Elephas maximus indicus: one gene and its partner. The protein of the gene in region 2 binds, or shares a complex with, the protein of the main gene of each other region. Links are inferred from orthologs where the notes say so. Each region holds a gene or a part of one and is shown on either strand. Other genes may lie near its edges.

Region 1 (8,078 bases), on a different chromosome or scaffold from region 2:
CAAGCAAAAAAGATGATGATAGTCTGGAACAGGCTAGCACTGAGGGTGGGATGGGAGCTGCAAGAGGTATTTGATGGATTCCTGGCTGAATACAGACTCTAATAGACAAGGACGAGTCAAAGAGTACTCTAAGGTCTTAAACCAGGATAGAGGAAAAAAAAAAAAAAGAAAGAAATCCAGTAGTAGCTGTGGTTTCTCATGCTGACTGTCCAGTTTTCCAATAAAATGGAGGTTTAAGAGTTCTAATGATTCGGTATTCTCCTCAAGCAACTGCACTATAAGTGGACTCATAAGTGCATATAGTTTAGAGTTGGCAGAGATCTTGTTTTCCAGATGAGGAGAGGGCCAGAGAGGATGGTTAATTGCTCAAAGTCAACCAATTAACTGGGGAAAGTGTGGGCTAGGATCAGACTTGTTAACTCACCAGTCTGATCATCTTTCCTAAACCATGTTGGACAGGAGGGGTTTGAAAATCAAGGCAATTCAGATTTGCATTTCGTAGGCTTGCCTCATCATGACTGGTCAATTTTAAGGAAAGAGGATTTATCCTTTCCATAGTCAACTCCTGCCAGGTCAGTTTCAATCTACATGCATAACAGCCCTCTAGCTCGTTGTGCTTCCAAACAAAAATTCCTTATATTCGTTTTACTAATTCTCATCTTCAAATGACTAAACAAAGTGAGGACTGTCACTGACTGGCAGCCTCATCAGGCAATATTTTCATACTCCTCTATGAATAACAAAGTAAAATCAGTGACTTATCAACAGTATAGAATTTAAAAGGTCTTAACCTCCCACCCAAACTGAAACTCCCTAGACTATTTCTGAAAGATGGTCATCCTGCCTTTAAGTGTTTTCAGGAATGGGGCAGTCCATTCCTTTGTCATGACAGCTCTAATTACTCGAAAAAATTATTACTGTAAATTAGGGATAACAACAGCTATTTTCAGAGTTACTATGACTATTTAAAAACAAAACAAAACAAAACAAACCCATTGCTGTCACGTTGATTCTGACTCATAGCAACCCTATAAAAACCCTATAGGACAGAGTAAAACTGCCCCATAAGGTTTCCAAGGAGCGCCTGGTAGATTTGAACTGCTGAACTTTTAGGTTAGCAGCCGAACTCTTAACCACTACGCCACCAGGGTTTCCACTATGTATATTAAAAAAAAAAAAATATTAGGGATTATAAATGTAAAATACCCAGTATAGTGCCTGGCACAAAGAGCTAATAAAACGATAGCTGTTGTTGTTATTATTATCTCACCCACTGATTCTAGTTTGCTCTGTGAAGCTACATACATATACTTTCAAATAGCCTTTCAAATACTTGAAGTTAATTGTCATGTTATTCCTATGTGTTCTTTTTTCAGAATAAGCATCTATCAGTATTTTCTCTCTTGGATATCCTGCTTTTGGCTATGCTCCTGCATGGGATCTTTGTAGAATGGGGTGCCCATAATTGAACAAGGTACTGTAAATGTAATCTGGGTGCTTCAAAATAAAGTAAGACCATAAGCCTCTTTGGCCCAGATCCTACTTCTGCTCAAGCTGCCTAGGGTTCCTTTAGCTTTTGTGGCAATCACGTCACATTACTGCCTTTGGCCTAGGAAAACTCCCAAGTCTTTTTTCACATGAGTTTTAAGTCTCCCTCATTTTACACTTGTGTAGAACTTTTTTTCAAACACGAGCGCAAAACTTTATATTAGTGGAAAGCCTGTTACGTATCAGATAAGTTCTGTGGAAATAGGGATGCCTACGACAAATCATTAACACGTTAGAAATGTAAGCTCCACAAGGGCAAGGACTGAGTCTGTTGTGTTCACTACTGAATCTCCACTTTTTGTCATGATGTCGGCACACAGTTATATGCTTAATGTTTGTTGAATAAATTACTGAATAAAATATTTACAATGGAGATTTTTTCTTATAAGTTAAAAGGTATTTCTCTGATTCACTTATTTTTTTTTTTTTTTTTATAATAACTTTTATTAAGCTTCAAGTGAACGTTTACAAATCCAATCAGTCTGTCACATATAAGTTTACATACATCTCACTCCCTACTCCCACTTACTCTCCCCGTCTTGAGTCAGCCCTTTCAGTCTCTCCTTTCTTGACAATTTTGCCGGCTTCCCCTCTCTCTATCCTCCCATCCCCCCTCCAGACAAGAGTTGCCAACACAATCTCAAGTGTACACCTGATATAATTAGCTCACTCTTCATCAGCGTCTCTCTCCCACCCGCTGACCAGTCCCTTTCATGTCTGATGAGTTGTCTTCAGGGATGGTTCCTGTCCTGTGTCAACAGAAGGTCTGGAGAGCATGACCGCCGGGATTCCTCCAGTCTCAGTCAGACCATTAAGTTTGGTCTTCTTATGAGAATTTGGGGTCTGCATCCCACTGCTCTCCTGCTCCCTCAGGGGTCCTCTGCTGAGCTCCCTGTCAGGGCAGTCATCGATTGTGGCCGGGCACCAACTAGTTCTTCTGGTCTCAGGATGATGTAGGTCTCTGGTTCATGTGGCCCTTTCTGTCTCTTGGGCTCTTAGTTGTCATGTGGGCTTGGTGTTCTTCATTTTCCTTTGCTCCAGGTGGGTTGAGACCAATTGCTGCATCTTAGATGGCTGCTTGTTAGCATTTAAGACCCCAGACGCCACATTTCAAAGTGGGATGCAGAATGATTTCATAATAGAATTATTTTGCCAATTGACTTAGAAGTCCCCGCAAACCATGTTCCCCAGACCCCCGCGCTTGCTCCGCTGAGCTTTGAAGCATTCATTTTATCCCGGAAACTTCTTTGCTTTTGGTCCAGTCCAATTGAGCTGACCTTCCATGTATTGAGTGTTGTCTTTCCCTTCACCTAAAGCAGTTCTTATCTACTGATTAATCAATAAAAAAACCCTCTCCCACCCCCCCTCCCTCCCCCCCTCGTAACCACAAAAGTATGTGTTCTTCTCAGGTTTACTATTTCTCAAGATCTTATAATAGTGGTCTTATACAATATTTGTCCTTTTGCCTCTGACTCATTTCGCTCAGCATAATGCCTTCCAGGTTCCTCCATGTTATGAAATGTTTCAGAGATTCGTCACTGTTCTTTATCGATGCGTAGTATTCCATTGTGTGAATATACCACAATTTATTTACCCATTCATCCGTTGATGGACACCTTGGTTGCTTCCAACTTTTTGCTATTGTAAACAGAGCTGCAATAAACATGGGTGTGCATATATCTGTTTGTATGAAGGCTCTTGTATCTCTAGGGTATATTCCGAGGAGTGGGATTTCTGGGTTGTATGGTAGTTCTATTTCTAACTGTTTAAGATAACGCCAGATAGATTTCCAAAGTGGTTGTACCATTTTACATTCCCACCAGCAGTGTTGATTCACTTATTTTTATAAATTCAGATCATTTACAAGTCTAACATAATCTCAGTTTTAGCTTAAACCTAGAGTTTTCTCCTCCTAGGGTAATCCAATTTCCAAAATAAACACTAATTATTCCTTTCAAGGTCAAAGAAAATACTCACATGCTTTAGCTGCTGGGTGGCCATTATATTCCACCACTGAAGGCCTTTTGTAAACAAGTACCCCCTTTGACCCTTAATGCACTGTTTACATCCCAGGGTTAACACTAGCAAACCATGCCTTCTGAGTGTTAAATACCTGAAAATTTCCTGAGCTGACATCTATCTGGCCCTGTTTTTCTGCAGGGGGGGAGAATAGGTCTTTTGGAAGAAATATGGGGAGCTAGCTTTGGAGGACCTTGAAATTCTTCATTGGTCTGTGACCTGCTGCCAGGTACCCACAGGCCCAGTGCCTCTGGGTCACAAACCCTTCCGCAGAAGCTAGATATATGGAATTTGGGGTTGACTAGTTCCCTAAATTCAGTATAGATTAAACATCAGCATAAAGAAAACTAAAATCCTAACAACTGGACCAAAAAGCAACAGCATGATAAATGGTGAAAATATTGAAGTTGTCGGGAGTTTCATTTTACTTGGATCCACAATCAACATCCGTGGAAGCAGCAGTCAAGAAATCAAATGACACATTGCATTGGGTAAATCTGCAGCAAAAGCCCTCAAAAATGTTAAAAATCAAAGATGTCATATTGAGGACTAAGATGGACCTGACCCAAGCCATGATCTTTTCAATCACCTCATATGCATGCGAAAGCTAGACAATGAATAAGGAAGACGGAAGAATGATGCCTTGCAATTATGGTGTTGGCAAAGAATATTGAGTACGCCATGGACTGCCAGAAGAACGAACAAGTCTCTTGGAAGAAGTACAGCCAGAATGATCCTCAGAAGCAAAGATGGATGATGACAAGATTTCGTCTAAGGTACTTTGGACATGTTATCAGGCGGGATCAATCCCTGGAGAAGGACATCATGCTTGGTAAGTCATAGGGTCAGCGAAAAAGAGGAAGAACCTCAACGACGAGATTAATTGACACGGTGGCTGCAACAATGGGCTCAAGTCAACAACTGCGAGGATGGCACAGGACCGGCGGTATTTCGTTCTGTCGTACGCAGTGTCCCTGTGAGTCGGAACCGACTCCACGACACCTAACAATAAGAAGTTCCCTAAAACCACAGTTAGGGAGGTCCCAGGACCTCTGAGTCCTCTCATAGTTTTTTCCAGTATTTGGGGTACAGGTGAGGTATACCGGTCGCCATCTTGATATCAAATGTCAGGCAAGCTGCCATTGGCGTCTCACGGTAACCACGGAGACACCCGTGCCCCTCCCATTCCTAGAGGCCATAAACTACAATTCCCATCAGCAGACTTTCCCTTGTTGACCGACAGTTGTCTAGGCTTGACTCGTCTGCAACGGCGACCCTGCCGCAGTGAACCGCGGGAGTCGCAGTTCGTGGTGTGGTCTCACTTTTTGCTGCGGGAGGCACCAGAACTACAAATCCCGTGAGCCAGCGGGCTCGCGCATGCGCATGGAACAGCCGATCCTTGCTGGCTCCCTCGCCAGCGCCTAGAGTTAAGAAAGGGCGGGGTGAAGGAAGAGGAGGCGGGATCCGGGCGCTGCGTTGGCTGCGGCCTGGCACCCAGGGGGCGGCCCCGGCAGAGAGCGAACCCAGCGGCCCGGGTCGATTATGGACCCTGCCGAGGCGGTGCTGCAGGAGAAAGCGCTCAAGTTTATGGTGAGGAGAAGGTGCAGACCAGGGAGCGGTGGAGGCGGTGGCGTTGGCGGCGTCGCTGAGTCTCGAGTCTGGGCCTCCTGTCCGCTGGGGGAGGGGGCAGTGGGACCCCGGGCCGAGGCCGGCGACGGCGAAGGCTGAGGGGACAGGACCGGAGCTCCGGGGAGGCGGGAGGGAGTTGCGGAGGAACCCGGGAGTGGGGGCAGCAGCTCCGCCATCTTGTGGATGAGAGGCCAAGTGACAGCGGGGGTTTAATCCGGGAGGGGTCTCCGGGCAGCGCGCGGGGCCGTGGAGAGAAAGGGGCGTGGGGACAGTTACTGAAGAGCGGAGGAAGCCGGGAGGATAGACGCCCAAAGGCCGCTGGCAGGGCCTTCCTGGTGTCAGGGTTACGGGTAAGGCCCGGAGAGGAGGTGCGTTCAGGAGTGGGGAAGGGGAGCGCGGGATAGTGGGAGGACGTATATTGGAATTAGGAGGGAATCGGGCAGGGCTGGATGCAGATGGATCTAAGAGTGGACGAGGGAAAGCCAAGGCTGATGGGAGACTTGTAGTTTTGTAGAATGAAGAGGGAGATAGCCTTTGCCTTGAGGGTGGAATCCCAGCTTAGCCAAACTAATGTTGACAAACTCTGAGAAGGAGGAGGCCTTACTTAGGAAGATAAGGACTCGGAATGGGGACCTAGGGCCATGGTAACAGTCTCTGGGAAAGAACGGCGAGGTTGACTTGTGAGCCAGATTACAAACGTCAGGAAAAGGGATATATGCTCTACTTTGAAAGAAGAAGCTAAATATTGTTGTAAGGACGAGGCGATGAAAAGCAGGAGCCTAATTGGTCAGGGAAACTCGGGTATAGGAGTTTGAGGGCAAATTAATATCTAATAAAATACAAATTAGAGCTAACTTGTGGAGGTAGTGAAGTGTAGGGACCAGGTGCTGTATCACTTCCTGGGAAAGAAAGGGCCAAGGAGATTAGAATTGCAATGACCTATGTGATGAAATCAGAGGAGAAATTCAGGAGATAAAAGGGGGAATGTGGGTAGTCGGTATTGAGAGGAAAGTCAGAATTGGTGGTTCCCATCAGTTTTAGGTGTGAGCATGGGTTGGGCTTTGTGTGTGTGTTTAAACTCCTTGGAGCTTGTTTAACTTTGTATCATGCTTTTCTTGTGCTATACTTACATTTGGCACACGTGTGTAGTCTGATATCTCATGCTTTTAATCTGATGCTTCTTGTATATCCTAGGTGTAAAGCCAGACTTTGTGGTTACAAGTACAGAATGATGGGATGCATAGACTTCTAGCTTAACAGGGGGCTTTAGAGATATTGGTATTATTTGCAGTCAAGTCTTGCTTGCTTTTTCAAAAGTAATTTTAACCTGTCACTCCAAACCTTATTCCTTTGCTAGATAGTTATTACATTGTGTCTTTGTCTGAAATACTGTAACAATTTCCGAATCAATAAACATGGGTATTAATTGAATTAACGCTTTAAACTGCCCCACTTACAAGAATACTTCCCAAGAGACTGGTCAAATTTACTTAAACACCTAAATAAAGTTTGACTGTATCGAAAACAAAATCCCATTAAACTTGAAGAAAGTTCTTGAATGTCTGCCTAATTTTGAAATCTTAAAATATTTAAGAAGAGACTTTGAATTTTTTTTTGATTTTAGAAATTAGAGGAAATTGTTTTATGTCTATAGCTAGCTTCTAAATTTAGTTTAAGTCAGAAAAGTGGCAGCTGCTTATTTTTATTTTCCTATTTAGAGGGTTGACTCTTAATCCTAGTCCTGACACTTGTGTCAGATTTATGGAATAGTGTTATTTACAGATCGTAAAGAGGCATTATGAGATCATCTTCTTTACTCCCCATTAGACCTCAGCCTATGAACATTCTCAACTATTTGCTCTCTGCTTTGTACCAGTAAGTTATGTTTCCGTAATAGCCTTCTGCTTGAGTTAATTTGGACCTGAAGATGGCCAGTGTAGAAGTTTCCAGCTTTTTTGGGGCACACATTATTAAATGTTGAGTCAGTCTCCATAGGGAGAAGCCAATTTTTTCTTTAAGTTACTTTCATTTTTGACCTTGCCTGCTACTGTGGTTGCTGTTTGAGAAAAGGCCAACTGGAAGAGGGTCACCAAGAATGACACCTTAATAACTGATGCAGAGAACAGAGAGCCAGAGACTTGGTATTCTCCTTCAACTCAGTAACAGTCTTATTATGAATCTGAGTAAGTCACAGCTTCCCTTTGGTCCCAATTACCCCACCATAACCTGTGTGTTTATTCAGGGTGAACTTTGAGTTATGAAGATATTTTATTTGCTCTTGAACCAACTAATTAGTTTACAGTACACATGGAAGGGCTATCCTTTAATCAAATTGAAATTTTTATAGTGTTTGCTTTATTTCTTGCCTGACTCCTCTCAGTTGTGAATTACTAATTGTAACTTTTGTATAGATGCCTTGATTTCCATAGTTTAAAAAAAAATGTATAGTTTGTTTAAAACCCCAACATGAAATGAATACCGTCTTTACCAGTTTTACTCATTACCACATTGATGCAGTGTTGCGATTAGGAATTTTATACTAAAATCTTATTAATGAGACTGCTAATTCAGTTGACCGTAATTCACACATGGTCTGTACTCTTACCCTTAGTTACTTGTGAAAAAGAGTTTAAGCAGAACATTTTATTTCTAAAAACAAGTGATATTAAAGAAGTGGTTTACAGTAAATAACTTGTATGCTAATGTTTCTCCCTCAGCTTTAGCAGGCCATTAGGACCTTTACTGATATTTACTTGGTCAACAAAAATCTAATACCTTAAAAAAAAGATAAATGGGAACTGTAAGAAGACCTGAGAAGAGAAACTAAAAGGACTGAGGGGATGTTAGCATTATTTTAATTATATTTATAAGGAGGCCTGGTG
Region 2 (7,177 bases):
ACCCACGAGACAAAGCAGAACTGCCCCCATAGGGTTTGCTAGGCTGTAATCTTTACTACTACAGCAAACAGTCAGGTCTTTCGCCCTCGGAGCCACTGGGTGGGTTTAAACCACCGACCTTTATGTTAGAAGATGATCGCAAACCGCTTGCACCACTCAGGGACTTAAGGGAACGGAAGAGAGATGATATTCTAGGCAGGAGAAAGCATGAGCCACAGCGGCAGGGAGGGTGGCAGGGGATCCTGGGAACCTGGACAGCAGTAGGGTGGAAGCAGGGAAAGGAGAGGTAAGCTTCCTAGATCCAAGTTTTCCCACAAAGGAAAAAATTTAAATTGCTATCAAACTTGGGCTTCACAATTCTGCTTTTCAGTCATGATTAAGGTGGATTATATTTTATAAGGCAGTTTTTCAAAATGCTGTTGAAGTTCAAAGTTATGTCACTCCCACAGAAGCCAAACACTCTGAGGGCCTAAAGAAATCTTAAACAGTGCGATTAAAAACCAACTCATTTTACAAATGAGGAAATACAGGCTCAGCAAAGTTTAGCTCAGACTAGACCCCATGTCTTTGCTCTCAAGCAAAATGTTCTACGTCTAAGCAAAAATAAATGAATAAATAAACACCACACATATACGTAAGCTAGTAACAACACACAGCTATATATAGAGCTAGAAAAATCTATGAGTGAATAAAACACAGGAAAATCACTAAAAGTGTCATAATTTTGTTACTAAATAAAATTCACATATTACAAACTAGGAGCTTAACCTCCTCAGGGAGCTTAAAATCCCAAATTTGATTTATTCCTCATTTGATGCTCATTTTTCGATCTTGAAAATCAAACAAAAAAACACACTTTACTAAAACTACCAGATAAGCTTAAAAATCAAGATGAACTTAGAATTGATCCTTAGAACTATTATTCTTTTCTCTAGAAATATCTAAAAGACAAGCTTAAAATGAAGCTAACAATCCCCAAAAGGCATTTTATTCCAGGCTGACCCACTCAATTGTCAAGGGTAGATGGGACCTACGGAGAATTAAAACAGCAAAGAATAAAAATACAAACACGTTCACAAGTTTTTGGGGCCCTCATTTTTTTAAACTGAAGAATGTCAAGTAATTCTAGACATTTTAAAGACTAGTGTGTTCAGACTGTCTATGACTGGGCATACTGGGAGTGAACTTCTGAAAAAGATCCCCAAGGACCTGAGAAGGGTCTTTCCAATCAGAGGCCGCATCCCGGACTCTGTAGTAGCACAAGCGGGTTTGCCTCATCTTTCCAACATGGAAGAGCCTCAACTATCAGGCTACTTTTTTCATTTTCAAACACAAAGTGCAATATTTAGCCTGGGGGAAAAAATGATTCAAAAAAAAAAAAACTCACAAAAAGATAAACAAATTCGACACCTTAAATCTAGTTTTGAAGGGGAAAAAAGCTAAGTAAAGTTTCACAAACTGTTTTCTTGGCACCTGCTTGATTTCCACAGGTAAAGAAAACCTGGGCATATCTTTTGGGGCATTGGGCTAGATACTGGGGTACGGAGGGGGAAAGGACGAGGTAATGAAAAAGAAAGGATGGAGGAAAAAGACAGCAAATTCAATAACAGTGCAATAACAGTAACAAAGCTTGCATTCGTGAACAGTGTAATTGGGGTGTTTTCTGTAACCAAAATCAGGGCAAGTGGTCAAACAATAGGTATAACAGGTAGAACTACTCAGAACATTCATCCAAACACTGAGGTACCACCTTGACCAAGTTCTGTGCTAATCTGGGATGCAAAAATAAATAAGGAATATTCCTTGCCCTCAAGGAATCCAGTTTGAAACATACGGGAAATAAAGCTGTGTTCATCACCGAGGCTAATTATCACCAGGTGCTCATTAAGCATCAGGAACCTAACCTGCTTTAATACTCTGCGACGCTGTGCATAACCGGCTCACACACGCGAGTGTCCCTCAGTTTTCTGATGGGGTACAAGTTAGCAATGGGGCTGCCTACAAGGGCTAGGGCTAGGGGCTCTGAGAGTGGGCCGGAGAAATGGGTGAAAACTTCCAGTATACTAAGCTTGGTTGGTTTAGGGGTTTTCAGGCAAAACAGCTTTTAAAAGATGAGACCAGCGACGGAAAAAAGTTTAACATATTCAGAAAGTAATCCAGCCACCCCTCTGAAGCTTCGGGAACACGCTCCAAAACCTCCAAACATGGGCATAGTGGAGTTAACGCCAGGCCACCTTGCGTTCACCAGCTTCGGAATTTGAAATGCGATGCAACTATGTGGACTGTCCATGCAGAGCAATAAACAGAACTTCAAACTAAATTTTTCCTAATATTCAAAAACCTCCCGGACAAAGCGAGCCTCAGGTCCCGGCGCCTCCCCGCCGACACACGGTGTACTTCGCCGGCACCACACGCACCGGCCACACAGCCACACGCCCTGCGGGCTTTCGGGGACGCAGCGAGGCCCCGACGCAGAGCGACCGCAGCCCGCGCAGCTTCCGCGGGGTCGGGACGGAGGCCCGGGCCGCGGCCTAAGTGGAAACCGCTTCGGTTCCCGTCCGTCACTCCGCAACGCGGCTCCAAGACGGCCAGGCCGCTCGCCGCCGCGCTCCCAGCTCCCGCGGAAGGCGCGGCGCGGCGGCCGGCGAGTCGAGCGCCCACCGCGCCGAGGGGCCAGGCCGGTCCTCACGGCGGGTCACCGGGTCACCGCGCCCCGCCTCGTCCCAGCGCGGGTTCGCGCTCGGCCGCAGCCGCCCGTCCGGGCCGCGAGAGAACGGGCCGCCGATTGTGACCCCATAACGGCCGCCGCCGGCCGCGCGCAGCCGCTGCGCTGACTCAGGCCCCTGCCGCCGCGCCGCGTCCCCGCCGCCGCCGCCATTCCGCCGGCGCCGCCTCGGCCCGGCCGCTGCGACACCGCGGCCCGCCGCCGCACTCACCGCGTCCGCGTCCCCTGCGCCGGCCGGCCCCGCGACGTCCGCGCTCCCCGCCCGCCCGGCCCCGAGAAGGCCAGACAAGGCCCGAAGCCCGTCCCGCCGAGGCCTGGCCGCGTCCTGCTCCCGGGCCGCCCCGCCCGCCGTGCGCCGCGCCGCCCGCCTCTTCCTCCGCTCGGCTCCTCCTCCTCCTCCTCCACCTCAGCTCGGCTCCGCCTCCTCCTCAGCCCGGCCCCGCCTCCTCCGCTCGGCTTCCTCCGTCCGACTCCGCCTCTTCCTCCGCTTGGCTCCGCCTCTCCCTGACCCGGCTCCGCCTCCTCCTCGGCCCGGCTGTGTCTCCTCCTCAGCTCCTCGGCCCGGCTGTCTCCTTCTCAGCCCGGCTCCGCCTCCCCCCTGGCTCGGCTCCGCCTCCTCCTCAGCCTCCTCGGCCCAGCTCTGTCTCCTCCTCCGCTCGGCTCCGCCTTCTCCTCCGTTCACCTCCTTCACCTTTTCTTCTTCTTCCTCTTCCTCAGCCCGGCTCCTCCTCCTGCCTCCTCCCGCCGCACCTGGTCCTCGCCGGGCCTGCCGCCGTCTCGCTACCTCAGAGCCCACGGCCGGTCCTGGACGCCGACAACACTGAGCCCTGAGGGCCGCGGTCTCCGCAGGTGGGGCAAGTGGGGGCAAAGAGGGGGCGGGAAGTGTGCGCGGGCACCACAGACACACGACACACACCGCACAAGTATACACCGCACTTTATACCACATATCACGTATGTACACACATACCCCACACTACATATAGGTCACACATATACACACACCACACAGATGCACACCACACACAGACCCTCACACCACACACACCCACCTCACATGTTCACAAACATACCTGCCACATCACACATATACCACACAGACACACCTCACACATTCACACACCACACAGGTACGTCACACATCTCAGTACTCATACACATGTACATACACTGCGTGGATACACACCACACACAGATACAGCACACAGACACGCCTCACGTTCACACAGGCATACATGCCACATCACACATACACCACACACACATCACCACATATACTGCACATACCTCCCATGTTCACACACCACATGATACATCACACACCTCACCACACATACGTATGTGTGTACACCACATGGATACACTTCACATACATGTACACACACCACACAGGTACACTGCACACCCACCCTCACACCATAAAGAAATGCACCACACATAGCTCACATGTTCACACAGACATATGCATGTCACACCACACATATGCTACACAGACACATACATCAAACACCACACACACACACTGCATACATCTCTCATGTTCACACACTACTCAGAATATACATCCCACACCACATAGACACATACACGACACATCACACACACCTCATACCACAAACACACTGCACACACAATCACACAAATATAACACACACACATACACTACAGACATGCACATCATGCCACACCATATCACACCACACAGACACAGATGTACACCACCAGACATATCATACAAGGACATCACGTACACAGACATCCCATCAATAGGCTTCTTGGGATGGAAGATAAATGCACCGGAGGCAAACCTAATGTAGTATCCTGATGGGCAGGTAAGACAGTCAGCTGTGGGAGATGGCCTGAAAATGAGGCCCAGACATCACACCGAAGTGTGGGATTCTCAGTGTCCTACACCTGCAGGCCTTAGGAATCAGGACCTAAAAGCCTGGGATTATCTGCACCTCTTTTTTTTGATCATTTCTAAAATAGAACCAAACCAAGCTTCCCTTTTCAAGTCCTGTAACCAAATCATTTTTGGCAAATTTTCACCAAGATTCACTTTATTATTAATCTTTGTAAAACCAAATTAAAAACAGACAGAATTTAAAAATTTGATTGCATGTATGTATAGTATGAGATGTGACTAAGTATTTTCTTAACATGCAGGCTGAAGTAGTTAATCCCATTAGTTTGAAATTAAGTGTCATACTCCCTACCTGAAATACTCAAGTTAAATATAAACTTTGGCAGCCCAAGTAGCTACCCGATATGTGGCAGAGGCTGAGAAGGCATGGATAGCCGCATACCTAGGGCCGTCACTCACAACCTAACTCTGTGAACAAGCAAGGAAGGATTTCAAATTGTCATCTGACTAAGAGATGTGAAGAATGTGACTTCCCAAACTAAAACACTGCAGAGATTCTAGTTCCATGCTGGGCAGCAGCCCTCGGCCTAGAGCAGAGGCACTACCTCCATTCACTACTTCCTGAGTAACCACCTGTCTCTTGTAAGACACATCCCATCAGGGTATTTGGCTCTTCCTACTGAACTGTGGTCTTTTCTCAACATCTTTTATACATTCTTATTGCCAAAATAGATGATCCTCCAAAATGCTTGGGGGATAGCCTACATTACTAATGATCTAGTAAGGAAAACATAGGTGTATTTTAACAGTTTTCTTGTTGGGCACTTGGTAAGATTGGAGGTAAAATGGAAGGCTTTTCCCTGGGGACCACACTTTCCACTGTAGATACGTGGTGTTTTTTATTTCCTCACTTCCTTTTCTTAGACAGACTAGGAAAAAAGGCCTGGTGATGTATTTCTGAAAATTAGCCAGTGAAAACCCAGTGGAGCCCCCAGGCTGTCAGGCACTCAAAATACACGGTGGCCAAAACAATGGTCATGAGCATACCAACAATCACAAAGATGACACAGGACCAGGCAGTGTTTCGTTCTGTTGTACATGGGTCACCAGGAGTTGGAGCCAACTCAACAGCAGCTAACAACAACATATGTAAAATATGAAGCAGATGTTTTCCTACCACAGTCACAAAATATATCCGACTGTGGAACCATAGGATAGGTAGCCCCCCACTTTCTCAACTCTTGACTTATAAATGGCTTGCATACAGAAAGGCCTTCACAAAAGGCCTTGCTTTTATTGCTTGGATTTTCACCAAAGATTCTTCAGTAACCTCTCCTAAAAATCAAAATAGCTCCAGGAGGGTAACAGAGCTTGAGTCATTCAGTCACATTTAGCATTAACTAGTTGAGTTGGGTTGTCTTCTTTCTAACATGGATCAGTCCCACCTAAAGAATGGGAAGTTTTGGGCAAGTCTGAGAGAACACTGAGGGTCTCAGAGCAAGCTGAAAGCCTTGGGGCCAGTGGACCTGGGAGAGGAACCTTTAGGAATGGAATGGAATGCAGGAAAGGAGATGGGAGGATTTAAAATTCTAACTTTTCTCGTTTCAGGTATTCATATTGCCACTGCTATGCCTCTTGTTTTGGGATCCAGAAGTCAGAAAATACTACTGTAAGATAGTTATGAATTAAGTAGACATTTGAGGTCTTTCCTGAGGGACTTAAATGCCATCGTTACATTCAGTTAAGTTGGGGCCTATGAAATAGCCATTTTCAAATGATTCAACCTAGAACTGGCGAGCATTCAGAGTTCCAGAAAACTGTCCTAAAATCCTTTGTCCAGGAAGCTTTCTATGACCCTCCAAACCTACTCCACCCTCATCTCTAGATAAGGTGTTCTTTCACTGAAGAGTTTATAATTTGGCATTGCAATTTATTTTCCTTCCATATTTCCCTCTCCATCACAGATTGTTTCTTGAATCCAGAGTGTAAAATGGTGGGAGTAGTAGCATCAGTACCTGTCTAACTTCAGGGGGTGTATAATGAGAATCAAGATCAGCCCATGACTGATCCCTATGAGGTGGAGGTCAGACATCTACACACTCCAACCTCTTTACTAGTTCTGATACCAGCTGTCCCTCCCACTGCACTCTCTACTTCTCATCTGGGTTCGAAAATCTGTTGTCATGGCCACAAAGAACTCACAGACCATACCTACAGTTAAGTGGTTTATTAAGGAAGTAGGGTACAACTTGGGATCAGGATTAGGAAGCATGTAGGCAGAGCCTTTAGTGCAGGACAGCTCTTTCAGCTCCTCTGGGTTGTGCAAGCAAGCAGGACCTCTCTGCTGTGCACACTCCCTCTGGGCTGTGCAGGCCTCCTCTCGGTCCCCTCAGGACAAGCCTCTTCTTGGCCATCTCAGGACAAGGTTCCTCTTGGCTCCTCAGGACAGGCTTCTTCTCAACTCCCTCAGAACAGGCCTCCTATTGGTCCCTGAGGACAGGCCTTCCTGCCTTTGGCTCTGCCACAGAGCCTCTTCCGGGCCTGTCACTGTCTTCAGTGTTCCAGCCCTTGACCCATATGGATCCTTTA

Evidence for each region. Proteins that work in one complex are often made in the same cells at the same time.
Region 1: CUL1 (region 2) and BTRC share a complex: the UniProt entries of both Homo sapiens proteins name them as parts of the SCF(BTRC) complex. The link is inferred for Elephas maximus indicus from reciprocal best matches to the Homo sapiens genes CUL1 and BTRC.

The regions. Positions count from the first base shown.
Region 1 is NC_064834.1:52,977,977-52,986,054, forward strand, and holds the start of BTRC (F-box/WD repeat-containing protein 1A), read left to right. Parts: upstream 1-5,009; 5' UTR 5,010-5,109; coding exon 5,110-5,157; intron 5,158-8,078. UniProt on the Homo sapiens protein: Substrate recognition component of a SCF (SKP1-CUL1-F-box protein) E3 ubiquitin-protein ligase complex which mediates the ubiquitination and subsequent proteasomal degradation of target proteins. Recognizes and binds to phosphorylated target proteins.
Region 2 is NC_064826.1:1,461,240-1,468,416, forward strand, and holds the start of CUL1 (cullin-1), read right to left. Parts: upstream 3,076-7,177; 5' UTR 2,937-3,075; intron 65-2,936; exon of another isoform or gene 1-64. UniProt on the Homo sapiens protein: Core component of multiple cullin-RING-based SCF (SKP1-CUL1-F-box protein) E3 ubiquitin-protein ligase complexes, which mediate the ubiquitination of proteins involved in cell cycle progression, signal transduction and transcription.